Bombyx mori: one gene and its partners. The protein of the gene in region 5 purifies or fractionates together with the protein of the main gene of each other region. This does not show direct contact. Links are inferred from orthologs where the notes say so. Each region holds a gene or a part of one and is shown on either strand. Other genes may lie near its edges. The genes, in order: DDB1- and CUL4-associated factor 7, telomerase Cajal body protein 1 homolog, rptor, viral IAP-associated factor homolog, chaperonin containing t-complex polypeptide 1 beta subunit, thioredoxin domain-containing protein 9 and dynein axonemal assembly factor 10.

Region 1 (4,073 bases), on a different chromosome or scaffold from region 5:
TCACGTGGATCATTATGGGACAAAGCAGTCATAATATGTTATATTTTAACTGTTTTGTTTCTTTATTTTAAAATTTAGTTTTAGTTTATTACAGATTTAGGCTATAAAAAATTAATTGGGGCCTTCGTTTTCATTTTTGAAGATTGTTATCATGTAATCACGTTCCGTTTTCTATTGCATCTGGTTTCTAGTTACCACGAAATGGGGAACACACAACTCAGGCGAGCAGACAGACGCTCTTCGAAACGTCATGGCATTCGAACAAAGCGCCTAATAAAAAGTTTTACATTGCCAGTGTACTTTATTGCTATTAATTAAATTCGGGCACTTTAAGTATCTATAATAATCTTTAACATAGTTATGAGTTAAAAAGTTATACAAACTAATAAGTCTGTCCTTAATTTTTAATTAAGAAACTGAGACTGCCCAGGTATCTAGGCAATAAAAAAATATTATACACAATAATAGAAAACGTAAGAAATTTAGAACCTTTTTACCTACGATATCAGATCAGGAATATGGAAATTCGCAGGAAAACCGTAATAACTGACATAGCCGAAGGAATTGTGAGATTGAAGTGGGCAGAGCATTGCTCGTAGAACAGATGGCCACTATGGCTGAAACGCTTTCGAGTGGCGACTGTGTAAAGATGTAGCTTGGGTGGAGCTCCCACAAGGCAGACCAGCTACCTGTTAAATATAGCGGGAATCCGCCGAATGCAGACAGTGTAGGACCGGTCGTTGTGTCGAGGCTTTGGGGGGGCCTTTGTTCAACAGTGGACATCTGTGGATATTGTCGTTTATTTAACTTTCTATACATAGCCTGGTTTTACTACTCATTCAGTTTCGAATAGGTAGCTTACTCATTATTGAATTTTTACCAGGCATATGTCTTCAAATCCAATTTCGTCTTATTGCAGCCAATTTAATTTATTTTTAAATTATTTCATTTTCATTCATAAAATAATTTTCATTACACTTTTTTAACAACTAACAGAGATTCGACATATACTAAAGTAGGGACCCGCCCTTGCTTCAGAAACTGTAATTGATTATTGATTTCTCCACTATTTAATGGATGTTATTATACATATAAACCTTCCTCTTCAATCTCTATCTATTAAAAAAAGCGCATCAAAATCCGTTGCGTAGTTTTAAAGATTTAAGTATACATAGGGATATAGGGACAGAGAAAGCGACTTTGTTTTATACTATGTAGTGATGAGGTTTACTCGCAGATGCTAAATTCCCGTTGCCTAGTCAAAAAACGAAACGAAAAAAAATTAAAATGTCAGATTGTCCTACTTGCCAGTTGTCAAATTTTGTAAAAATAATGCTTCATGCTTGTTTTCTCCACACAAAACTAAGTTTTTAGTTAATTTCCAATTATAAAATACATTAATTGAAGGTACAGAAGCTCATGGACAGTTCAATATTTAAATAGGTATATTTAAATCAAACATAACAAAGCCGCTTGGTGGCCATTCTGTGATATTACGGCAAAGGTACATAAAATATATATTTTTTGTAAATTTAAAACCATATGTAAAAATCTAAAAAATATAACTTGAAAGGTATGAAAACTTACGTACTTGAAAGACAAAAAAAATAAAAAAGTCACTATTCATTAAAATTTCATATAAATATCATTTTGATTTGTGTTTTCAGAAACATTAAACATTATCAGTGATGTCGATGCCACACAGCAGTTCGAGTACCAGTTCAGGCACGAAACGTAAAGAAATATACAAGTAAGTAACGTTACAACACAATATGAACTATAAATAACAGATTGGAAATAATTGACAGTATAAAATACAGAGTTGACCCAATTTTGAGATTGCTAATTATAATTAGGTATAGCGTGTTATTTATTTCTGTACCCATTCCTATGTTTCGAAACATTTGTAATACAATCAAGCAGGCATTATGGGACTTACTAATTTAATGCTTTAGATGTTTTGAAATATACAGATAATCCTTTCACAATTCCCGAAAAGAACTAAAGTGATGTTAACAAATTGCAAAAACAGCCTTATCTTGATAATTACGTACGAAATTTGAGTTGTTCATACAGTTAGGTTAAATTCTCATAAACGAAGTTGTGATAAAAAAAAAACACTATAAGCTAGACAGCTGCATTTCTATGTCACACATCTTTTACAGATACCAAGCGCCATGGCCATTATACTCAATGAATTGGTCTGTCAGACCTGACAAGAGATTCAGGTTAGCCCTGGGCAGTTTTGTTGAGGAATACAACAATAAAGTAAGCTTTTACAGAGCAGTTATTATATTAATTTAGTAATTTACAAAACATACCAACAGGATTAAGTAAATACAGTATAAAGGCCCAGATAATGAATCATGCAAAGCTAATGCAATTTTAGGGAAGTCAATTTGTCAAAAATTTCCCACTCATTGAATTATAAAAGATAGAGGTGTGTGCCTTATAATCTATAAATGCATAATATTACCAAAGAAAATACACAATAAATTACATATTTTTGTTGTTGTTCATTTTTCAGTAGTTGACAGAATTGGTAGGAGCACTTAGTTTGTGGAGGCTGTTCTTATAGACCAAGTAGACAAATACAGCAAGAAAAAAAAAATTCTAAGTAATTATTGGTGCATAATATTACTTACTTAATTCCACCATTAAATTAGTAAAAACTCAACTACATACTACTAATTAGTTAATTGTTTAGCATAATATACAAACATATAGTAAGTAAACCAGGAGTTCCCAAGATATATAACCCACTTAGACACACAATAACTTGACCGCAAAGGTTTTAATTGGTGAGTATGTTGTATGAATAGGAAAAGAACTAGGGATAGGGTTTTTTAAATAATTTGGGTATGGGGTTTTGAGGTATCAGTTCATTTTAAAAAGGGGTCTGCCAAAAATTGTTTTATATTACCTAATATAAATGAATTTATTAGTTTTCACTACATTGAAGGATTTTTAGTGAAAACTAATATATTAATGGTTTCATTTAACACACATACTGTATTGTAGCATTCCTTGTGCATGACATAAGCTTAATAAAACTCTTAAATCCTAGGTACAAATAATTTCCCTTGATGAAGACACAAGTGAGTTCACTGCAAAAAGTACCTTTGATCACCCGTACCCGACCACCAAGATTATGTGGATACCTGATAGCAAGGGGGTGTATCCAGACTTGTTGGCAACTAGCGGTAAGACTTCGGTAGCAGTTTGTTAGCACTAAGATTACCATATTTAATATGGAGATAATGAGGCTTGAATTTACTTTTACACTGCTACATAGACAAAAACATATACTCCCAAAAATAATGCTTACAATATCATCTCTCTCTAGAGAAACAGTATTCATGATAGTCTTTGAGCTCCATAAACCACTGAATTGTACTTAACTGAGCCTGTCTATCTCCTTTGTCGTCATATCACTCTTGTCAGAGCGGTTGTGGTCGTCATTCAGCATCATTGCTGAGGGCAGATGTTATGCGCCTCACAAGCAATCGCTACTCCTCCCGGTTTGTGGTGAGCCTGGTACACTCATGCAAACAATAATAATCAATCTACATAAATAAAAATAAGTGATACCCTATGAGTACAATATGAATGATTGTGATGTTAATAGAGGCAACTTTCGTTGACATAAACAGTTTTGATAAATAATCAAATTCAAGTAAAACTATTCAATAAAATTTCACAATGGTGCCTTATGTTGCAGGTGATTATCTACGCATATGGCGTGCCGGAGAGCCGTACACATTATTCGAATGTGTCCTAAATAATAATAAGAATTCTGACTTCTGTGCTCCTCTTACATCCTTTGATTGGAACGAAGTGGATCCTAACCTCATTGGCACCAGTAGTATTGACACGACCTGCACCATCTGGGGCTTGGAGACTGGACAGGTCTTGGGCAGGGTCAATGAAGTGTCTGGGCACGTGAAGACTCAGTTGATCGCTCATGATAAGGTTTGTGATTTTTATTTAATAGAAGATCTTGTTAATTCATTTGTGTCCAAAATTTATGTTAATGATTATCTGAAGATTATTGGTGTCTTCAAAAAATTTTC
Region 2 (4,029 bases), on a different chromosome or scaffold from region 5:
AATCACTGAAAATACTTTATAAAAATATATTTCACTTTCATCAATGTACTAATTTGATCAATAATGAATAAAGGTTATACCTACCGTCCTTGAACGAAGATAATAAAAATTGCGAGATAATATACTTTCCAAAGTAACTTTTTTGACTGCATTTCAGTTAATTTATTTTGAATTAATTGAAGCGTGACGTGTACAACCATTGAGTGAATTTTGATGATATTTTAAAATAAAACAAGCCACGCCACAGCGCCTTTAGTTGTGTGAGATCTGAATTTAAATACATAAAACATATAATAAAATCTCCGTGCTAACCTGCCTGAGAGACTTTGCTAACATCTACTGTAGCAAGAGTAGTGCTTTATTGAATTTATTGCCGGATCAGAATCGCGACCTACTGATAAGATCCGGTGAGAAACTCAAGGGTTGTGTCTGTGGGTTAATGTATAGTTGTGGTGTCACGGCGGAGCACACGTTCGCATACTGCCCCGCTTTCGCGAAGCAGCGCCGCACCCTCGTTGCAAAAATAGGTCCGGACTATGTGCGGCAGCGACGAGCCCTGGCAGGCGATGCTCGACTTCTGTGAGTCCACCATCATGCAGAAGGAGGCGGCGGAACGGGGAGAGAGAGCTCTTCTTTCCTCTCGGCGCCGGGCCACCGCCACCGAGCCGGGAATTGGAGGAGGGTGTTCGTCCAGCTCCAACCCCTGTGAAGAAGCAGTCTCCTCCCGGTGATGTTCACGGGGCGACCTGAGGTAGTCGAGGTTGCGCCACACGCTATTGTCACTGTAGCGTGCTGGCATGTGACGACGCATCTTCGGAAGCGGTCCGCGATGCGGTCCGCATTGCCGTCGTCGCTGTCGTCGTCGAACATACTGTGGAAGAGCAACCGTATAAGGGGCAGGGGAGTCGTTTAGTGCGGTAGGGTCCTTAAATAATTTTGGACCTACGGTCTGCTTCCAACATCTGCAGATCGTCAAGTCTCATATACCCTGCGTGCCCCCTAGGCGGGGGAACCTCATGGGAGGTTCAGCCCCCGGCCCCAAAAAAAAATTATGTTGTTATGTATGTACGACCGTTCTTGTGATTGATCATTCCCGATCTCGAGATTATATTTCATCCCATATCATCTCATTTCATTTCATTTCACTCCATATAATTATCATTTTTCATAAAAATAAGAATATTATAAATTAATATAAGACATGACCTAAAGATCTTAGTTACCAGGTCATAAAATCCCTTAAAAAAAAGTAAGGCGGTAAGGTCGATTGACGAACGACGATTTTGTTTTTATTTTGAAACCGTGAGCGGAATAATTGTCAATTTGTTATACATAATCACAAATTGTGTTGTGATCTACCTTTATTATGGAAAATTGGTCAATGGAGACACCATCAAGAATAAACGCTGAAAATATACCTCAAACCATAACTCAAAATCCGAGTGAACTTACATTGGGTTCGGCGTGTACAGAAAACGCTTTTCAATATCCAGCATTATTTACAAGCAAAAGCTTTCTTGAATTGTCCACTTGCTCGTGGTCAAGGGGTCGTAATGCTAATGAGAATATACAGCCTTATTTACGTGGATGTAAGTGGTCCCCAGATGGAACCTGTTGCTTAAGTGTTGTCAATAACGATGGTGTTCATGTTACCGAGCTTCCTAGTGAATTGTACCAGGGCGTTGTTTGTGGCGATCGTATAATCGATGTCTTAGAATCAGTGATACATTTAAAAGAAACAGGTTCAGTTTACGACTTCTGTTGGTACCCATTCATGAACAGCACAAATCCCCCTTCCTGTTGGTGAGTGAGATTTAAAACTCAATATTTGGTCTACAATGGAATTGATGTAAATATAAAATATCGTTACTTAAATATCAACCAATCTAAAAATTAAAAAAATGCTCAGTGCCTTATGACAAAGGTGTACAACCAATGTGTTTTACCAGTGATGACGTACGGTTCTGAGATATGGTGTTTCACAAGGGAACTTTTTAAGAAGCTTAGTGTCACACAGCAACCTATAGAGAGGGCTATGTTTGGTATTTCTTTATGAGATCGAATCAGAAATGAGGAGATCCATAGAAGAGCCAAACTTGTTACATAGCCCTAGGATTAGCAAGCTGAAGCGGCAGTGGGAATGCCATATAGTACGAAGATTGACAGCCGATGGGGCAGAAAAATCCTTAAATGGAGACCACGTACTGTCAAGTGCAGTGTGCCGTGTACCAGATGGGCTGATGACATAGTGGACATCAGTAGGAGAGGCCTATGTTCAGCAGTGGACAGGCTGAGATTATGATAAAATATCAATTTTAGTTTGTCAGTAAACATAATTTCTCTTCCTTTAAAATAAGGAGCTGAAATAGATTTCTTAAGAAATGCCTAACTTTCATGTAACTCAATAATTTTATTGACAGCTGGTTAACAACAAAACAAAATTCTCCCATACAAATGTGGGATGCATTTGATGGATCACTCAGATGTTCATACAGAGGATTCAATGCAGTAGATGAAATGGAACCAGCTTTATCAGTTAGCTTTACCTCAGATGGTAGAAAAATCATTGCTGGCTATAAGAAGCATTTAAGAATTTTTGATGTTGAGCGGTAATTCTTCATTATCAAATTTATCTTAAAACTTTAATTTCATGCTCAGTGTGGGTATTTAAGCAAAGCTTAGACTTGCTAATAACTACTTTATATCAAGGCAGGAAGCTTTTATCGTATCTATACTAATATAAAGAGAATTTGTTGTATGGAAGTAAAATCTTTTAATATACTCATTAAGTTAGTAATGTGCTCAAGATAGACAATTTTTTTATTTCTTTGATTGGTATACAACTAGGTTTTAAGTGATTACTAGAGCTCATAGACTTCAACAACATAATTGTTGCAATCCTGCCTGAGTTCTAGGTCTATTTTATTTGCTTGTATATTAATCAGTAAATTTTTTAGGCCTGGCAGAGAATTTACTGAGCAAAAGATTTCTAGTTCAGCATCTAGCATTTCAACACAAAATAACTTAGTTGCTGTTGGTTCTTGGAATACAACAATAACTTTGTATAATGAATCAGAAATTGGTACTAAGAAAATTGGGGACATGTATGGACATGGAGGTAAATAGCACTGAATAATTGGTGTAACGTTTGTTACATATTGTTATATATATACCCAATACCTATATATACCTAATCCAGCCATAAGTTCTGTTTCAAATGAAAATGTTTTTTTTTTAATGAAGTAAAAAGAAATGAAGTCAGCAAAAAATAAAGAAAAATATTCTACTTGAAATGGCCACCTTTGGCTTTTATACAGGCCTTTAATCTGTTTGGCCATGAAACTATGAATTTGCGCACTGTTTCCAAGGGAAATTTCACTGCTTGCTCCAAAGGTTTTTTAAGACTCAATGTCGCTGTATCGCTTAGAGCAGGCCATGTTCTCTAAAACTGACCATAATTTCAAGTCTAATGGTTGAGGTCTGGGCTCGGTGAGGCTGGACTTCAGCTCTTACAAAGTCTGGAACATTGGTTTCAAGCCAGGCTTGGGTAGTTCCTGCCTTGTGACCAGGTGCAGAGACATGCGGGCCAGTCCACAGTATATTTTTAAAAAGTGTATTGCTGAGAGGTTTTACAGCATAATCCAAGACATGGATACATGGACAATGATACACATTGACTGAAGTTTTCACTTTCTTTTTCACAAAAATATAGCTTGTGATTCCTTGATAAGACACGCCCCACCAAACCATCACTGATGCAGGATGATGACCACTTTGTACCTTTCCTACCATTTCAGCAGCTTCTTTAGAACTGTGAGTGTACACTTTATCATTTTGTTTATTGCAGTGTTCTTCAATAGTGAAATTTTTTTCATCAGTAAAGAGAATATTTCTGTGCCTTTCACCTGCATATCGCATCAAAAGGCATTTTCATTTATCCAATCACTTTAATTATAAAGATTGATTTAGGGTATATCCTGCGAGCTTCAGGTCTTGTTTTATAATACGCGACAGAGTCCTATCGGGAAT
Region 3 (3,500 bases), on a different chromosome or scaffold from region 5:
CTTGATGGTGAGTGGTTACCGGTGCTCATGGTCAGCAATAGCCAGGCCGTTGTCTATGACTGGTATAGTGTAGTTTAGGGGAGGGAGGGAGAGGGAGCGAGAGAGAGAGTGAGGGAGAGTGCGCTGCAGGGTGCGGCGGGCGCGGCGTGCCGGAGCAGCTGCCGATGGTGCTGCAGGTGCTGCTGAGCACGCTGCACCGGGTGCGCGCGCTGCAGCTGCTGTGCCGGTTCCTGGCGCTGGGCGCGTGGGCGGTGCGCGCCATGCTGGCCGTCGGGATATTCCCCTACATGCTCAAGCTGCTGCAGGCCTCCGCGCCGGTGCTGCGCGCCTCCATGGTCTACATCTGGGCCAGGATCATCGCGGTCGATCCGGTTTGTATTACTTATACATTTCGTTCATTTTATATTCCCTCGGCCAAAAAAACAAGTGCTGGCAATTTCAGCGAATCAAATAGTGTAAATGCAAATTAAACGGTATTAATGCTTTTACACATATTTTGAGTGCAGAACGAAACGAAATGGTATTTCTTAATTGTACTTAATTAATCATTAATTGTTTCAGAGCTGTCAAGCGGACCTAGTCAACGCTAAAGGGCACACGTACTTCCTGTCCGTACTGCAAGACCCTACAGTCGACGTAAGTACCCGCAGCAAGGTGCACGCCGCGCGGGGGGGAGGGTACGCAAGACAATGGGATTGAAAAGTACACTATACACTAAATTGATAGACGAGCTTATAGTTCATATGGGATTGATTGTCTATCAGAGCCCGTGGACTACACTTTCCAATTGTTTCAATCTTATAGCCTGCGACACTAGGGCCATGCACGTAGCATTCAATCAGGATCATCTTCCATTGAAATAGTTCCGTTTCTGCAGAGCGAGCACCGCACCCTGGCCGCCTACGTGCTGGCTGGCATCGTGGACGGCTACCCGGCGGGGCAGGAGGCCGCGCTGCAGGTGAGCCCTCGGACCGCATCGCATGTGTTGTGTATCTACGGTCAGCTGCTGCAAGACGTACGTAAGAAATGAAACTAAATGAAAATTTCGATTGGCAGGGCTCAATGATATCGATATGCCTCGAGCAGCTCGGCGACAGGGAGCCGGTACTGGCCCAGTGGATCTGCATCAGCCTGGGCCGGCTGTGGCGCGGGTTCGAGGCGGCGCGATGGACGGGAGTCAGAGATCTCGCGCACGAGAAACTGTTCCCGCTCCTTGAGCATTCTGAGCCTGAGGTACTGATACGTTACCCCCCTCGAGGGGGCCGTCACGGAGCAGCTGTCCATGCTCCTACACTATTGTGTGCCCGGGTAGACGAGCCCACGGCCCACGTGACGAACAAGGTTGACAAGGCTTATAAACATCACATGAATAGTTTCAGTGCTACTGTGACGGGGTCCTAGTATTGCTTGCTTATATTCATATTCGTCGGCCTGTAATGTAAAGCGTACTAACTCGCGACGTGCTTTTGTACGCTTTACAAGTCGTGCTCGTTTGTCAGCAACATTTTCGACTCTGTAAGCGATTTCTCTTTACCTTCTATTAGTTTATTTTTATTTTTTTATTAAGTTTTATTAAGGGGCTTTATTAAGTTTTAAAAGAACTTTATTGGTGGTAATTACTGGTTTTATTTACTGGTGGTAGTAAGTACCACCGCCCTGCCTATTTCTGTTGTGAAGCAGTAATGCGTTTCGGTTTGAAGGGTGGAGCAGCCATTGTAACTATACTTGAAACCTTAGAACTCATATCTCAAGGTGGGTGGCGCATTTACGTTGTAGATGTCTATAGGCTCCAGTAACCACTTAACAACCAGCTGGGCTGTGAGTTCGTCCACCCATTTAAGCAATAAAAAAAAAGAATAGTTGATGTGACGATGTTGCGGCGGCAGGTCCGCGCGGCGTGCGCCTTCGCGCTGGGCTCGTTCGTGTGGTGGTGCGGCGGCGCCGGGCGCTGCGAGCAGGCCAACGCGCTGGACCTGCAGGTGGGCGTGCAGCTGGCCGCGCGCCTGCCGCTCGACGCCAGCCCGCTCGTGCGCGCAGAGATACTGGCCGGTACGTACCCGCGTGTCTGCCTATGTCACTCGGGAATAGTATAACTTACAAACAGTGAAAGAATTTTCCAAATCGATTCAGTAGTTCCGGAGCTTATTCAATACAAACAAACAAATCTTTCCTCTTTATAATATTAGTATAGATTTCTAAATCAAATAGAACTTCTCTATTTGATTTGAAGAGGTTTGAGTCTACAGTTTTATAATAATAATTATTTTTTACAGCATTACAGTGGCTGGTGTTAATATTTGAACAACACTTCATCGCTGTTTACATACAAGAACGGGTCAGAAGAAATGATAGGTAAGAATTAATATGAAGATTGCACAATTTTTTATATTTTTTTATTGCTTATCTGGGTGGACGAACTCACAACCCAGCTGGTTGTTAAATAGTTACTGGAGCCCAAAGACATCAACAACGTAAATGCGCCACCCACCTTGAGATATAAGTAAGGTCTCAGTATAGTAACAACGGCTGCCCCGCCCTTCAAACTGAAACGCATTACTGCTTCACGGCAGAAATAGGCAGGGTGGTGGTACCTACCCGAGCGGACTCACAAGAAGGCCTACCACCAGGTAAAATTAAAACTTATTTCAAAAATGTACCACTTAATAACCCAATTCACCTAAATACCTAATATGCACAGGGGTGGCCCGTCCGGGCGCGTGGAGGCGGGGCAGGAGGCGCTGGCGGGGGGCGGCGGGGGCGCGGCGGGAGGTCGGTCCCGGCCCCCCCACTACTCGCTGCCGGCCATCGGGTTCGGCTCCGTGCCGGTCCGGCTGTTCTCCACGCTGTGCGCCATGGCCCGGGAGCCGCACCCCAGGGTCGCGCAGATGGCCACTGACATCCTCAATTACATCTCGAACCAGGTCAGCCTCTCGCTCCAGACGTTTGCCATAAAATTAATACGGTGCAGTCTTATAATGTAGCAATGAAGCAAATGGCAAAAAAACACATGGGGGACGGACCCTGATCTTAATGACATATATCTACATACTGTAGCATAAACAACCAAACACTGAAGTATAGAGTCGATAAGCTAACGTACACCGCCTACATAGAGCTTACATATAATAACTGTGCAACAAAGAAATAGTAGGCAGCGGCATGGCTTTACCCCTGGCATTGCTGAAGTCTACGGGTGATGGTAACCATTCACCATCAGGTGAGCCGTACTCTCGTCTGCCAACACTACAAGGGCTATAAAAAAATAATTATTATTATGTGATCATAAATTAAAATTAAAATTAACCTATTTGTTAAGGTGGAACAAAGTAAGAATCTGATTTTTTTTTTGTTTTAATCGAATTTTTTTTTTTTCGGAATTCTTTGCGGACAAATATAATGATAAATGAGTTTTATAAAATTAGAATTGTCAACAGAGCGCCCAAGTGGACAGCGTGGCGGAACCCGCGCGGAACTCCGCCAGCCTGCCGCCCTCGCCCGGG
Region 4 (4,170 bases), on a different chromosome or scaffold from region 5:
GTATATACGCCATTACTATAGATTTTTTTTTACAACGGGGTCCTATATAACAACACAAGTTCACTTGATAATGATGCTCATTTAGCACAAACCTTAATATATTAATTTAATACAGTTCACATAAGAAGCTTTTGATAAGTAAAGCGACAGAATACAGTTTAAAAAAAAAACATACTGTTAGATGTAACATAAAATATAAATTAACTTTAACATAAATTAATATTCTAAAATCACCAGTCATTACTTCCAAGGTCAGTAAACAACTTGTCTTTGATCTTTGGTCGGGGATCTTCTGTTATGCTCGTTTCGACAGCTCCAACCTTACCGAGTATGTATTCGAGTTCTGGAAATTCAAATACATTTATTTTATTACTTTCCACTAGCTCATCTCAATTTGACTATAATCACTAATATCTCACGGTTCAGACTCATTTTATTCATTATATTTTCATTTTTGTCTATTTTTCAATGTCAATATAATTTAATTCATACATAACTCTATAACAACCACTACAAAAGTGAATTGATTCACAAAGTTCACATAGAACTATTGGCCATGCTATATAAGGTATCAAGCTATCAATTACCATCATTTAAAAATTGATTTATTCACAGCTACTTCAACTACAATACACTGTATTGAAGTTCACTCTTGGTGGCAAAACGGATGCTTCTCAATGGAGACTCACATGTTATACTGCTACTGACTAAATTACTACTACTGTATTAAATTTGCTATTGGTGAGAAGCAAGCCTTGTGGTGCTATTGTTATATGATAACAATCACTAATAGTAATCCTTACTAAAAATGTAACCAATTATAATTAAATTAAAAAAAAACTATAAAAATCAATTCTCATAGCTTACCATCACAAGTCAAACTGGTGCCCCTTAGTTCGTGGGACCCCACAAACTGCTGCTTCATTTCGCCCTCAAAGTAAACAAATAAACTAGGCAGATTCCTCTCTGGGAAGTTTGGGATGCAAGTCTGAGCAATGGCTTTCAAGAATTTTGTGTAGGGAAACTTGACTGCTAATTCTCGTAGATGTTGATTTATTAGTGCACATTGTTGTATTCTGAAATTTTTTGATTTATATGATTGATAATAATCATTGGAGCAGTCTGCAGATAAAGGGTCATAATGGCCCAATGACATAAAAAGTCAGTGCTAGGTTATCTAGAGGAAAAAAACTACATACATTGATATTGGTTTATCTAATGTCTTTATATCTTATTCATCGTTCCACTCACCCCTGTTTGTACAAATGAATGACCACCCAAATGTCTTGACCAGCCTTGTTAACCTCCTGCACATAATCTTGACCAGAGACTTCTCGCACTTCTCCGAATCTAGGCTTCTCAGACAGCTTCTTAATTTCTGCTAATCGTTTCCTGCGGTACTCTTCTATAACAGCCTCATCTTCTGAATCTTCAAGTTCGTCCAATCCATCAAGGTCTAACTCAGATAATTGTTTTTGTTCTGTGAATAAGTAAAAATTGTTATTATTGGAGACCATCACAGTCAGTCCAGTTAATTATGTAGTTTATAGTGTTCAAAACACTTGCCAAGGGTGGCTTGAACTCTCGTCCTCAGCATACAACTATCTACGATGGTGTTTTGGCTGATGTTAAAAAAAGTGTCCCTATCAACTGAACTGGCGTTCTACCAATGAAATGAACTCATTAACTATCCTATCAATTCTCTGCACCCAATAGGTGATGATTACTACATTTTTGAGGGAGTCACTTCTTAAATTCGTAGGGTTAATTGTTCAGTATGTCAGAATGGAAAACAAAACACAAAGTTAATTGTAAATTCATAGCTGAACATTTATAATTATAATAATACAGAGTGTGACTAACATTTTGTCAGATCTTTAAGAAAAATATTTCTTTAAACATTAGTAGTGTCTTAACATGTCTTGTTATTCCTGAATATTTTCAATTTAGTTTATATATAAATTCAAGCAAATGTATTTTGATGTAACAAATAATCACCAAAAAATTCATAATTGGTGAATATTCATTATCTATGCCAGTACAAAAATGAATGCGTCCCACTTAACTGTACTTACTAGAGCTAATTTAGGTGATGAGTCTCGCTTGGCTGAACATTTCATAAGGTGTTGGATGCAAAGAATTTTTTTAACAAAATGATTGAATTGCAGAAAGAAAACTATTAATTTGGTGACTGTTTAATTCCAGGATTCATTTAGTGTACTGGTGATGCATATCAATTATAAACTAGACTAGTCTAAAGGAATGTATAATGAATAATGAAATTATAGGTACTTAAACCAAAAAGTTTCGAAGTTCATTACGTTCAGTGTTTCCGGGTAATGATTCACTGTTGATTACTGATGAGCCAATACATATTGCATTTACATCGTAGAGCTTAACCTCAAAAATTCGTATTTGTTGACCTACTTTCAGCTTCCTTTTGCTGTATTGTGTCCTCTATCATGTTCACAATATCGGCCTCCGAAAACTCCGCTTCTTTCTGCGGTATAATACCCATCTTTCGAAGGGTATCGTTCCATTCTGTATCTTCATTGGGGTTCTAAAAATAAACAACAAAATAAAATTAAACTTTTCACTTTAATGTACTGCACATCATTTTACTGATAAGTTCCATTTATTATACCTGCATTTTATTAAATTAACAATTAAAATTCTAATAGTTGAAATACATAAACTTGCTCCAGCTTTTCAGGAAATTTGACACCAGATATTTTTTCCATAGACTTAACATTGAGACAGGCAAAGGAAACTTTGTCATGAAATATGTAGAACAATAGGTACCATGACATGGGGTAAATTGGGATCCTGGGGTAAATTGGGACAAACCTGCGGAAGATTCTCAAAGTACCTGTAGCACGGAATTTACCTAATTTTGTTTAAGTTAATATTTATCAATGTATAGAAGAAAAACCAAGTTAACTATGGAAGTACTAAATATGAGTTAAGTTGGTCCCAAAAATTCGTCAAATTAAATTGAAAATAGTGGTTGAAAAGTGAGTTTTAAAACAGCTTAAAGAACTTTTAAAAAAAGTAATATTATCGTTGTTTTTTCAATAAGATCACAGTTTATATAAGTTTTTAATACACCTGGAAATACCACAACAAACGGTAAGTTGCAATATTCTTATTTTAAATACAATATTTCGACAAAATAAAAAATGTATATTTTTTCCTTTCTTTTTGGGGAAAATTGGGACGTATGTAGGGTAATTGGGAACGAGACTGGAAAAATTAGGGACGAGAAAACACAAAATTGGAACGCCAAAAGACAAAATAGGGATGGCTTGTTAGGGTTGTCACTGATATCTTATAATAGATTTTTTAGCCTATACTATCACTTAATTGCGTGATGTAAAGAAGGTTAATGTGTTTATCAGTTAGTTTATGTAAGTATTATAGGTAAAAGAAAAGTATATATATAATTACTTTTTTTCGCGACATTTACCTTGTAATATCTGCCCGGTCGTATGTTCTTTATAGCAATAAAAAAAATTAAAAGTTAAAAGAACTCAAACGAATCAAAACTTTTGTTATTTCAGAATCTATTCACGCATCGAATCATGATTTTGTTAACATTCAAAACGCACACACAAATAAAAACAGGCCTCAGATTTTAAATGTAACATTAATTAAAAATCCGATATATCCAATTATGAGTGAGTGAATTAATTGAGTTTAGTTATTTAGCTTAGAAAGAATTTCTTTTATTTTTGTTATTATTGGCAGTAATCAGATAAAGCTGTTTTTTTATCTTATTCACCTGATATCTTACTCTTGCTCAAAGATTATTTTGAAAATGTTGATTAAATAAAATTGTATTATTGCATTTCCAGTCCTTTTGTTTTCTATTTTTTATTCTATTTTATCAATTTGTTTCAGAGTTGTGATTTTTAAGGAAATTAAATAATAATTTTCTAAAATATAACATGCACATACTTTTTTTGATCATTGTATTGTTGATTATCATTCACGTCACATCGCTTCGGAATAGAAACCAGCTTAATTTACACTATGTTGTGTATTGTGCTTAAATTATGGATTGTATTCATCATTTCGGTCCATATAAATAATTATATGGCACCTACCTATATATCGCAGTACTGCGAGTTGACAACCCTTACAAATATCCCAATTTAACCCTTAACCGTG
Region 5 (2,738 bases):
GGGGCGTTAATGATGAGAATCTTTGTGGGGGTGAGAAATAATACTGTTAATTTTAAATGGTATTTCTATATAAAATTAGAATACGTGACAATTCGTTGTGTGAATGTGGTTTGGACGACAGCAGTATAGATCACATTTTCCTCAATTGTCGCTTGAACAACTCATTCATATGAGACCAAGTTATTAGCGAACTGAAAATTCAACGGCCGGTAAATGTCCGCCACAACCTCTCACTGTTCCCAGATCCCCGTATTATAAGTGCTTTTATTAAGTTTTTAACTACTAACTCTATAAAATTATAATGATATGTAGTGCATTACTCTCTGTACATAATCTTTATTATAATATGTAAGTTTATAGTAACATTAATTTTGTGTTAGTCCCAGGCACCATTATTATTGCCAAAATTGGATACTTTTCATAATAAAAAGTGTGTTTAAATAGCTCGACAATGTTCCATGTGTAGCCATAACACGACACTGGCAGAAATTGCTGAAAGTATCGGCAGATTGCCATTAAAAAATATATAATAATAATAATAATTTTAAGTGCTCAGTGAAGCGGACGGGTACAGCTAGTACAATATGAAATTAGAGTACCTAATCCCATAGTGTTTTCTCCTCGAGAATGATGAGCTCTGAGTCGAGCAATGAGATCAGCACTGTCGTAGCCAGCATTGTCGGCGACAGCGGACGGCAGTCTCCGGAGCGCGACTGCAAAGGCTTCGGCTGCTGCGGCTTCCTTCCCGGCTGTGCGAGCGCCGGCGCGGGAAGCTGCTTCTGCCATTAGCATTTCACCAGCCCCTACATGCAAAAAATGCTTTGACATATGGATTTTATTTCCAGTATAGATAATAGGGTGTTCAGTCCAGACAGTCGAAGTTGATCAGTGACTGCGACAGTCCATCTGCGAGTCTTTGTAAAAAAATATATTTGTAAATTTATGACACCCTTTATCCCAACTAAAAGAGATTAACGCATCATTTTGCTATAACAAATATTACAGTTATATACTGTCTTCTTAGTCGTTACACTCTTGACATATAGCAATGGAGGATGCAAATTTGATGCGCCTCACCATATCCCACCATCACACTAGGTACACATTATTGTGTTTTAATTAATCACACATCGCACCTTTAGAATTATAGAGACCTAACCCAAAAAATGTGTTTTTTGTAAAACGTTGAATAAAGTTTTCAAACGGAATAGACATAAGAGGAGGATGATGTGAAAGAGACCTATGGATAAGTTTGTCCCTTTATAAGCTACTTTCGGTCATTTGATTAAAAAGAGCAGCTGATGATGGGTCGTTCTAGGTCAATTTTTTAATTAAAGTCGAAATAAAAAATTTCAAAATGGGTCTGTATAATTCTAAAAGTGCGATATATTTTGTGTAAATGTCATGTAAAATGCAAAAGTAAAATATATTAAACATAGTTTTATTTTAGTCTTTTATTAAGTAATTCATACCTCCTCCACATATGACCTTCGGTTCTTTTACAGTAGCAGCAAGCACGCAAAGCGCATCATGGAGTGAACGCTCAGCTTCGTCGATAACTTGTTGCGTGGCACCACGGATTACGATCGTGCAAGCCGAGCCCAACGCTACACCAGAGAAGCGGATCAAGCTCTCATCACCAATCAGAACCTGTGAGTGGTCACCGATTATAAATATGTTACTTTATAAATAGCTACCTAATATTATGATTTATTTTTGATATATTTGGGTGACAGAAAACAACATCACACCACAAACATTGCCAATTAAGTAGTTACTACAGCAAAAACTCAATTGAACCAAACAAAAAAACTTTATCCTTAAAAGATTGGGATATGTACTTGAATAGGTTGTAAAAAAACTCAAACAGAACAGTGAAACCACAAATGCACTTTTTAGTAGATATTTAAAATGTCTACTTTGAGTATGTGCTTCAATTGATATTGATAAGCAAGTTATGCACCAGAAGATTGATAAAAAAGTTAAAAAACCATGCTTGAGGAACATCGGTATAGCAACAGATCAAAAGACAAATTTTCTGCATTGACAGCAAATCTCTTATTGAGAAGAGGTTTTCTTATGATTTAAAATATGTCATTTTACCTCTTCGATCAATTTGCAGTGACCAAGTTTCACTTTGTCTGGTGAGTCAAATGTTGACACAATTTCCCCTCCAGTGACCAAGCCAAGCCTTTCGATACCTTCGAAATCAGCATGCTCAATTGCCATTACTCCAGCATCAGCAAACAACTGCTCTGGGTAGTTGTATATAAGTTGTCTGAAAATTAAAATTACCATAATAAGATACCCTCTTAGGCTTCCAAACACAAAAATTTCAAGAGATTAATTTAATATAAGCATATTTATGCTTATTTCAGATGCTATGCAGTTAATTTGTTTTATTTTACTTAAATATTGTTTTAATCATATCTGCATTAACATTATGTATCAACGAAGCGCTGGGGTCGTTAGTTTGACTTCACCTATTGAAGAAACAAGCAAAGTCATGTTATAGTTTAGTCAATAAACATTTAAATACGTTGGAATATATACTCTGGGTCACGAGATCTTTTTTGAAAGAAATAAATTATTATGATTTGTTATTTAATAATGAATTAGCACATGTGTTGGGTAACAAATCAATTCATTGTGTGTCTTTATGTAACCCCCACTTAGCAATTACTTTATTAAAAGGAGAACAATTACCCTCACTAATACACTACATAAATAGAAAGATA
Region 6 (4,196 bases), on a different chromosome or scaffold from region 5:
TACTATTTAATACGAAACGATATTTTGTGATAGATTTTAATTTCGAGAACGGTTGCCTCTTATTTTACCAGAAACGTCAATTTAAAACAATACTCTCACGGAAATGGACACACTCTGTAGAAAACACGAATAAATACAAAATAGTTTTGTGCTGGCAACACTCACAATGGCCAACCACTCTTGTTTCTGCTTTGCTCTTAATTTCATTTCAGCTATGCGTTGTTGTCTGATCGCCTCTAGATCCCCACTTTCCAGAGCGTCTAATCTGTAATATGTAGAGATACTTAGAAAAGAATTTACTGGTGGTAGAACCTCTTGTGAGTCCGCACGGGTAGTTACCACCACCCCGCCTATTTCTGCCGTGAAGCAGTAATGCGTTTCGGTTTGAAGGGTGGGGCAGCCGTTGTAACTATACTGAGACCTTAGAACTTATATATCAAGGTGGGTGGCGGCATTTACGTTGTAGATGTCCATGGGCTCCAGTAACCACTAAACACCAGGTGGGCTGTGAGCTCGTCCACCCATCAAAACAATAAAAAATAAAAATAAAAGCCCTCTGGAGACCTGCTACATCCTGGACCAGCTGTCGCTCCCAGAGTACCTCCCAGGTAGGCCAGGTAGTATGGCCGGGCTCCCGCGATATCACGGGGTCGCATCACTCAACTATCAACTCAATTAAATAACATTATTTTCGTCTAAATTGTTCAATAATCCCGTATTTAGCTTTTGTTAGTGATATATTCTAGTCGGTAATTAAATTTATTGTCATTTGTCATTAACACGTGCAATAGTTAGCGATAAGATTTGTAAAATATATTATTAATATGCTTCTTAATAATACTAATAATCTGTTCTTATTTATTACTTAGATGAGTGGACGAGTTCTCGGCCCATCTTATCTTAAATGGTTACCAAAGCCCATAGGCATCTACAACGTAAATGCTGCCACCTACCTTGAGCTATATGTTCTAACATCTCAGTTTTTACAGTACCATTTTATTTACCTTTCGATTTCACTGTCAATCTGTCTCTCTACATTCTGGGCAACATGCTGCAGCAACTGGTCGACGTTCGCCATTGTGATTACTGAAAAAAAGCTTATAACATTTAAATATAAACAAATTTAGTAGGCACAATTTAATATACTATGATAAAAAATCACATTGCCTATACTTAGTATTCCGTGAAAGAACAAAAATGATAAATATTTAAACGAGCTAAAGTTCAATAATAACGAAACGGTTTTAATCAAAGACACATGTATTGACAGTTCTAAGAATCGATATCATAAAATATCATTCAGTACTCGCTAGTATCAATTATATACCTAGTAGTAGTGAAAAAGTCTTTAAGGCATAGAATGTTACACTTTGTTTCGCTTTGCTCTTTAAATTTCATCTTCAATGTTGCCACACTCTACCCTATGGCTCTAGGACGTGAATGATTTTTCCTGAGTGTTCAATTTAAAGGAACTGATTGTTTTATTTTTTGTCTGCTCTTACTACACCCAAGTGTACTACACCCAATTCCAAAATTGTTTGTTACGCTCCGTAACATAAATGGCGTTTCTATTTCTACAAATAAATGACTGTCACTTAGAGTTTGTAATAAAACTATTATAGAATATATACAGTCTGACCTATTAAATATTTTCTTAATTTTTCAATAACTACATTAATACAATCACTGTCAATTTTACCAGTGCAAAAACTACCCCAAAATTTTTCAAACATCCACAATAACGTACAACATATCTGAAATACTTTCATTCTTCATTTGTTGTGTGCAAAGAAAACATTACCAAAAAAAAAACGATTTTGAATTGATATTTTAATAATTTTTTGGCGTAGTGCTGCTATTTATGAGCACTCATTCCCTTTACTCTCAGTTTTACAACTAATCATTGTATTTTGTTAGGTTTTAGCGAGGTATTGATAAAATTAAAATTAATTTTAAGACCATGTGGATATCGTTGTTTACGTTATTTTAAACATTTCAATATTATAAACTCTAAACCTTCTTATATTGTCAAATTTATGTTTAAGTGCCACACAATTACAGTCAGGTATCTACATTATTGTAGAGATTGTTTTACAATTATTTTCTAGCACTCTTACTAGAGAGAGTAAGCAGTTAACATGGCCAAGTTGCTTACCTAACCATATTGTGGATGGTGCTTCCCTTCAGACAATCAGTTGGAGTAAATATAGACCAATAGTTTTAGTAATTAGCACCAGAGAGATGGGATGTAAGCGGTTACCGTTGCTTATTAATCTTTAGAAATTATAATTTAGATACGAGAGTAAATGCGCACTACAGAATTTAATATTAAGCTGCTATGGTGAGCAAACTGGTTTAATTATCTAAAAGAGACGTGACCACGCGTGGGCCGTGGGCCCGGCACGGACGTAGACCGGCCGCATCAGGGGCTTAGAACCGCTGAGAAAAAAGGTATATAGAATGAAACTCTGGTATGACGCAAAAGAAAGGAATTTTTGAATGAAAACCGAAAATAAAAAAAATCATTTTACTTTTTTTAAAACCTAATCAATGGTGGTGACCTCATTCGCGCACACGGTACATTTCTCACAAATAATACTGTTACTTACGTTTTTACGATGATTTGTACTGGTTCAAATAATGAGTTTTATAAAAATGTTACTTAATTAACGTCTTTAATGTGGTAAATTTAAGAATTTCTTTTCAAAAAAACAGACTTTCGTATTGGAAACTTAGAAACAAAAGTGGACCTACTGTTTATTTTCAGTTTTGAGTTTTGACAAGTTTCAATCGACAGTTGACAATATTGATTTTGACAGTGAAATCAAAGTCCAGAAAAGGCTTATGACTACAAAGGCCAAGCCAAGAAGATATTTAGCAAAAAAAAGTCTGGTTCCCACAGTTAATGCAGTATGCTATCCTAAGTAAAAATCTAAATTGGGCGAAGCCTGTATCGGGTCTGATCTGCAGGTCGGAAGGATCCGAAGGAGATTGACTGGTGAATTTTTCACAAAATGCCTATCTATTTTACTGGATACCAGTACATGAACTGCCGATCGACCTGGTGCGAAGATCCTTTCTTTTAAAGCCTAATCTTAAGAAAGAATGTTCCATATTTACTATTTGAATATATAAAGCATTATTTATTGTCAAAGACAAAAATTAACTAGCTATTTACCTTGTTAAGAGTATTCAAATTGAATACCATTAATATAGCAAAATTCTATAATTAATATCGTGGTTAATACACTTAATATTAATATAATTCTTTCATCTAATTAGTTTTCTTGACATTTTAAACAATCGCGTCTTTGATTTTGGTAAACATACCATAACTCAGTTTTCTGAAACCACCTGCCTCATGCACCATGCACCACGTTCAAACTTGAGGCTCTGTGGGTAAGAACTTCAGCTCTATAATATGGGTGTACAAAGAGAAACATAACACAGTATCAAGGTTTAAATTTTACTTTCTCAACACAATTAATATTTACAAAACATTTTAAATATAAATTATATTACAAAGTCTAAAATATCATTTAAGAATTATTATATTTATACAAATCAAAGTACTTAGCGCGTTGTTATAAGCAAGTGACCATAGACGCTGCATGCTGAAGTCACAGCTTCGGGAGCAAAAGAGACAACAAGCACTCAATTTAATTTTTCATGACTCTTGTCAAAAATGACAGCTGTCAAGACAATTTGAACGCTACAACGTCGTCAAGCAATATAAAAGTTACATTAATATGGAATGGTGTAATCGTGTCACGTATTGGTGGGGACCGCCTTGTACAGCCTGAGTCGGGACTCTGACAGAGCCGCCAGTATATTGCTTCCGTTCGTCTCGACCGAGCACACGTCCAGCGCGGGCTCCGACGCGGGCAGGGACATGGTCCGCGTGCCGTCGACGCCGTGCAAATAAAGCGCTGAATCGCTTTCAGAATGAGCGGCGACCCACGCAGAGCTCGCTAACCTCACCCAGGCCACTTTGGACATCAACGAGGACCTGAGCGACCCCGAGAATGTTTCTACCACGTCACAAATAACTTCGCCGTTCGGTATGCTCGGTTTCAATTTACAGACGCTCAACTTAGATCTTTCTAGACCATTCGAACTCGGTCTGGACGCTATGACGGCGCGTTGGGACGCGTTATCATAGGCCAGAGACATGAACGATCCTTCCACGGGCAAGA
Region 7 (4,178 bases), on a different chromosome or scaffold from region 5:
CTTAGATGTGTGGACGAGCTCACAGCCCACCTGGTGTTAAGTGGTTACTGGAGCCCATAGACATCTACAACGTAAATGCGCCACACACCTTGAGATATAGTTCTAAGGTCTCAGTATTAGTCACAACGGCTGCCCCACCCTTCAAACCGAAACGCATTACTGCTTCACGGCAGAAATAGGCGGGGCGGTGGTACCTACCCGTGCGGACTCACAAGAGGTCCTACCACCAGTAATTACGCAAATTATAATTTTGCGGGTTTGATTTTTATAGCACGATGTTATTCCTTCACCGTGGAAGTCAATCGTGAACATTTGTTGAGTACGTATTTCATTAGAAAAATTGGTACCCGCCTGCGAGATTCGAACACCGGTGCATCGCTCGATACGAATGCACCGGACGTCTTATCCTTTAGGCCACGACGACTTTTAAATTAACTGATGTAACTATAGATTGTGCTTTTAATATATTAAGGTCCATGGATTCTGATGAATAGAGATACAGCCCATCTATTGCTGAGATAACAGACACTGCAATGTGAAGAATTCTGCCAAATACATAGAGTAGATAAACTTTCAAAGAAATTGGAACAACAGCTGTACTATAGTATACACCAGAACATGTGATTTAATGGTGGTAAAAATAGATAAGGCAGGGGTAGGAAAATTCAAATTTAACAATGCTCTGCATTGCATGCAATCTTCATATTTATTTCTCAAAGACATTCCTTGCTGGTCAGTAAAACATTAGGTTACCTGAGCAAATCCTTTAGTTGGATTTTGAGTCCTCACATCAAAAACATGAAACTTCCCTTCAAGTGTGGTTGCCACTAATTTATTCATTGGAATATCTTTACGATCGAATTCTAAGGAACATACCTAAACAAACAAAAATTCTTCAATATTTATCTATTAATTTTGACTTAGATATAATTTAATATATATATATATATATATTTTTTTTTTTATTGCTTACGTGGGTGGATGAGCTCACAGGCCACCTGGTGTTAAGTGGTTACTGGAGCCCATAGACATTTATAATGCAAATGCGCCACCCACCTTGAGATATAAGTTCTAAGGTCTCTGTATAGTTACAACGGCTGCCCCACCCTTCAAGCCGAAACGCATTACTGCTTCACGTCAGAAATAGGCGGGGTAGTGGTACCTACCTGTGCGGACTCACATGAGGTCCTACCACCAGTTATATAAATATATATCTCTATTGCAAAACAACCTATCAAGCTAATTTAGGATATATCATAAACTACAAAGAATTAAAACACACACAGATAATAACAAGTCATTGTTCATCAGAGTACCAGTTGAGATAATGATAAAAATTTCGAGATTAACTGAATTTATTTACTTCAATTGTGTTGATGTTTTCTTAAATAATTACTCACATTAAAATTAAAATGAACTCCCTCCCCCACTACTGTGACTTTTTGAAAAATATAACACATCTTTCTTAGGACAAGATTAAAGTGAATAACTACTGCTACTATACAACTAGTAATGACCCTGTATTTACTGATGTTAACAGGTTTCAGTAACAACTTTTTATCATGCATGTTGTATAATATGCCTATTGCGAGTTGTGACATAAAAATCTTAAATTTAGTCTTGAAATTACATACTTACTCCATTCTTCAAATTACATTCCCACCTAAGTGACATTGTTCTCAAATCAAACATTTTAAGATCTCCATTGTCATAACCAGCAACTACAATCCTTTCAGAATCATTAAATGAGTTTCCGAAGCCAACAGCCCAGCAATCCCTTCTAGTCTCACCTTGCATTGGTTGCATGTTTGCAACAGGTTTACCTCTTTGCCTTGGATCCCAAACCTTTACTGTTCCTATAATTTCAGTAATTATTATGTTATCACTACCATTTTTATTTTTCCTAAAGAGTTTTAAACCCAATGTCTGTTTCTCTGATTACTTATTCTAAATGACTTAACAAATTTTGATACTATTTTCAAAGATATAAATAGAAGTGTGAGAAAGGTTTGTGTATAAAATTTGTAAATATTTTGGACAAAATCAAAATCTGATGAGGATAAAAAAAAAACTATCCCAGTATGTCAACATGGCTAATGGTAGTCAAATCTTAGAAGGTATTGTAATATTGATTTAGAAAATCTACTCATCACCACACGAGTACCCTTTAATGTAACAGGATAATCCTTGGCATGAAACCTTACCATCTCTACTGCCAGTTACAATTTCAGGAGCTCCACAGTTGGTTGTGTTACCTCCCATCCCATCTATTGAGTTAATTATATCTGAATGTTCTTTTGTTATGTACACTTGGGAACCTTTTTCTAAGTCCCTATAGAAAATAAATTATTTATTAACATTCGATTTTTATGATTATCCGGAAAAAGTATGGATTTTATGATTTTGTTACAAACCATACTTCCAAAGTGCCTCTAAAGTCTCCAGTAGCAAATCGTCTCTCAATGTCGCTACTTGCTCCAAACGTTCCACATTTAAACGAGTTAGACCTCTCAATTTCTTTTATTTTCTTAATTTCTCCGGCGTTTATTTCAAATATTTCAATGGTACCCGAGCCTTTCGGTAAAGAACCAAGTACTATAAATTTAGCCGAACATGGTATCCACTTGCAATCAAATAGTGAATGGTTTAAGTTATTTTCAATATGGGTAATTATTTGGGGGGTATTCAATTCTTCCATGACTTAAAAATAGATATAAAAGAAATATTCAAAGGTTTATGCGAATCTTTAGCGAAAACAAACGTGACAGACAGCATTGGTTTTTGGTTGCTAGGCAACAGCATCATAGGCCACATAATATTGCTTTTTTTAAAAGATTTTATGACTTGGTAACTAAGACTTTTAGGTCATGTCTTATTTTAATTAGTATTCTTATTTTTATGAAAAATTATAAATATTATGGAGTGAATGAAGATGATTAGGTAATTTGAGACATTAATCAACTGGGATGAAATTAAATGAATTGAAATGAGATGATGTGGGATGAAATATCAGTAAAATGGTGGTGGTCATTCATTTACTGAGATTTTTTCAGCGGACTTGTTGGAGGATCCCGAGAAGTTACGTCCAGCGGCTTTGTTTCATTTTCCCAGATTTGTCCACTTTCACATATATTAAACTGTTAATAAACCACCGTTATTACACATTTAAACCTGAAGAAACACTAAATAGACAAAATAAAACAAATCACACAATTTCACTTCTTGCGTTCCCGCCAAAAAGTCCATATAATATTTTACGCAAGTCTCAAAAAATATTAAATTTTCAACCCAGCACACTTCACTCTGCTTAAGCCTCCCATGTTCCTATCATTTCCATTTCCTAGACTAGCGCTAATTTAGTTATTCTTTTTTATAAAGCCTTGATGGGGGACTAACTCACAGTCCACTTGGCGTTAAGTGGTAACGGCAGCCCGTAGATCTACAACGTAAATGCCGCCACCCACCTCGAGACATGAGTTGTAAGGAACAATACAGCAGCTGCCCCACCCTTCAAACCGAAACGCATTACTATTTCACGGCAAAAATAGGCAGGATGGTGGTACCTACCCGTTCGGACTCATAAGACGTACTACCACCAGTAATCTTCTAACATTTTTCAGCTTCTCCCCTACTCAAGATGGTGCTCCTTACTTCTTTCTACCCTTCATAAGTTTTAGAGACACTAAAAGGTTAATACTTGAATTATCATTTCAAATTTTAACCTGATTAAAACCTCTGAAAAATCTTTCTTCTTTTTTAAATCACTTTCCGTCCTTCAGTTCGATTTTTTGTTACAATAGACTTGGCATTATGGGCCCTTTTTGTCTTTGGAACAGACCATTCAATCAAATTCTCAACTTTGATTATCCCATGTGTCAAACGACAATTTTATAGCTTGGAAAATTGTGGCCAAACTTTATATTTCAATAACTTTCTAAAAATATGAGGAAATGAAAAGAAAATTGAAAAAAAAATTACGAGTCTAAAGAATGAATGAAGTTATTTATTTGAAAAAAGAATAAAATTTGTTAAATAAAAAATAAAAACTTCCTTGGGTGCTAGCAGTTGTTAGTGTCATTGAATCGGTTTTGAAATAAAGGGAATACAATGGGTGATAAAAAGTCGAGACAATCTGTAAGTGTTAGTGAAATGTAAATCCTATAGAAATCAAATGTATC

The links.
Region 1: the proteins of chaperonin containing t-complex polypeptide 1 beta subunit (region 5) and DDB1- and CUL4-associated factor 7 purify together in Homo sapiens (affinity purification with mass spectrometry; 4 studies listed by BioGRID and IntAct, counting the BioPlex papers as one, with this or other methods). This does not show direct contact. The link is inferred for Bombyx mori from reciprocal best matches to the Homo sapiens genes CCT2 and DCAF7.
Region 2: the proteins of chaperonin containing t-complex polypeptide 1 beta subunit (region 5) and telomerase Cajal body protein 1 homolog purify together in Homo sapiens (co-immunoprecipitation; 3 studies listed by BioGRID and IntAct, with this or other methods). This does not show direct contact. The link is inferred for Bombyx mori from reciprocal best matches to the Homo sapiens genes CCT2 and WRAP53.
Region 3: the proteins of chaperonin containing t-complex polypeptide 1 beta subunit (region 5) and rptor purify together in Homo sapiens (affinity purification with mass spectrometry; 3 studies listed by BioGRID and IntAct, with this or other methods). This does not show direct contact. The link is inferred for Bombyx mori from reciprocal best matches to the Homo sapiens genes CCT2 and RPTOR.
Region 4: the proteins of chaperonin containing t-complex polypeptide 1 beta subunit (region 5) and viral IAP-associated factor homolog purify together in Homo sapiens (co-immunoprecipitation; 3 studies listed by BioGRID and IntAct, with this or other methods). This does not show direct contact. The link is inferred for Bombyx mori from reciprocal best matches to the Homo sapiens genes CCT2 and PDCL3.
Region 6: the proteins of chaperonin containing t-complex polypeptide 1 beta subunit (region 5) and thioredoxin domain-containing protein 9 purify together in Homo sapiens (co-immunoprecipitation; 3 studies listed by BioGRID and IntAct, counting the BioPlex papers as one, with this or other methods). This does not show direct contact. The link is inferred for Bombyx mori from reciprocal best matches to the Homo sapiens genes CCT2 and TXNDC9.
Region 7: the proteins of chaperonin containing t-complex polypeptide 1 beta subunit (region 5) and dynein axonemal assembly factor 10 purify together in Homo sapiens (affinity purification with mass spectrometry; 3 studies listed by BioGRID and IntAct, with this or other methods). This does not show direct contact. The link is inferred for Bombyx mori from reciprocal best matches to the Homo sapiens genes CCT2 and DNAAF10.

The regions. Positions count from the first base shown.
Region 1 is NC_085118.1:1,110,545-1,114,617, reverse strand, and holds the start of DDB1- and CUL4-associated factor 7, read left to right. Parts: upstream 1-1,273; 5' UTR 1,274-1,504; intron 1,505-1,667; 5' UTR 1,668-1,688; coding exon 1,689-1,750; intron 1,751-2,165; coding exon 2,166-2,268; intron 2,269-3,067; coding exon 3,068-3,203; intron 3,204-3,721; coding exon 3,722-3,972; intron 3,973-4,073. UniProt on the Homo sapiens protein: Involved in craniofacial development. Acts upstream of the EDN1 pathway and is required for formation of the upper jaw equivalent, the palatoquadrate. The activity required for EDN1 pathway function differs between the first and second arches.
Region 2 is NC_085124.1:10,450,348-10,454,376, forward strand, and holds the start of telomerase Cajal body protein 1 homolog, read left to right. Parts: upstream 1-1,229; 5' UTR 1,230-1,366; coding exon 1,367-1,803; intron 1,804-2,420; coding exon 2,421-2,609; intron 2,610-2,957; coding exon 2,958-3,118; intron 3,119-4,029. UniProt on the Homo sapiens protein: RNA chaperone that plays a key role in telomere maintenance and RNA localization to Cajal bodies. Specifically recognizes and binds the Cajal body box (CAB box) present in both small Cajal body RNAs (scaRNAs) and telomerase RNA template component (TERC).
Region 3 is NC_085123.1:798,403-801,902, forward strand, and holds part of rptor (regulatory-associated protein of TOR), read left to right. Parts: intron 1-129; coding exon 130-371; intron 372-561; coding exon 562-636; intron 637-877; coding exon 878-958; intron 959-1,056; coding exon 1,057-1,233; intron 1,234-1,886; coding exon 1,887-2,049; intron 2,050-2,273; coding exon 2,274-2,352; intron 2,353-2,698; coding exon 2,699-2,921; intron 2,922-3,434; coding exon 3,435-3,500. UniProt on the Homo sapiens protein: Component of the mechanistic target of rapamycin complex 1 (mTORC1), an evolutionarily conserved central nutrient sensor that stimulates anabolic reactions and macromolecule biosynthesis to promote cellular biomass generation and growth.
Region 4 is NC_085131.1:763,685-767,854, reverse strand, and holds the start of viral IAP-associated factor homolog, read right to left. Parts: upstream 2,801-4,170; 5' UTR 2,651-2,800; coding exon 2,645-2,650; intron 2,561-2,644; coding exon 2,428-2,560; intron 1,481-2,427; coding exon 1,252-1,480; intron 1,077-1,251; coding exon 868-1,076; intron 344-867; coding exon 231-343; 3' UTR 1-230. UniProt on the Homo sapiens protein: Acts as a chaperone for the angiogenic VEGF receptor KDR/VEGFR2, increasing its abundance by inhibiting its ubiquitination and degradation.
Region 5 is NC_085119.1:8,627,060-8,629,797, forward strand, and holds part of chaperonin containing t-complex polypeptide 1 beta subunit, read right to left. Parts: intron 2,279-2,738; coding exon 2,104-2,278; intron 1,651-2,103; coding exon 1,473-1,650; intron 804-1,472; coding exon 600-803; intron 1-599. UniProt on the Homo sapiens protein: Component of the chaperonin-containing T-complex (TRiC), a molecular chaperone complex that assists the folding of actin, tubulin and other proteins upon ATP hydrolysis.
Region 6 is NC_085117.1:95,771-99,966, forward strand, and holds the start of thioredoxin domain-containing protein 9, read right to left. Parts: upstream 2,801-4,196; 5' UTR 2,610-2,800; intron 2,484-2,609; exon of another isoform or gene 2,156-2,483; intron 1,098-2,155; exon of another isoform or gene 1,087-1,097; 5' UTR 1,079-1,086; coding exon 1,005-1,078; intron 266-1,004; coding exon 166-265; intron 1-165. Other genes in the region: E3 ubiquitin-protein ligase RFWD3, read right to left, coding at 3,769-4,196. UniProt on the Homo sapiens protein: Significantly diminishes the chaperonin TCP1 complex ATPase activity, thus negatively impacts protein folding, including that of actin or tubulin.
Region 7 is NC_085131.1:9,119,332-9,123,509, forward strand, and holds the start of dynein axonemal assembly factor 10, read right to left. Parts: upstream 2,801-4,178; 5' UTR 2,699-2,800; coding exon 2,415-2,698; intron 2,333-2,414; coding exon 2,205-2,332; intron 1,857-2,204; coding exon 1,639-1,856; intron 877-1,638; coding exon 754-876; intron 1-753. Other genes in the region: CXXC-type zinc finger protein 1, read left to right, coding at 4,108-4,134. UniProt on the Homo sapiens protein: Key assembly factor specifically required for the stability of axonemal dynein heavy chains in cytoplasm.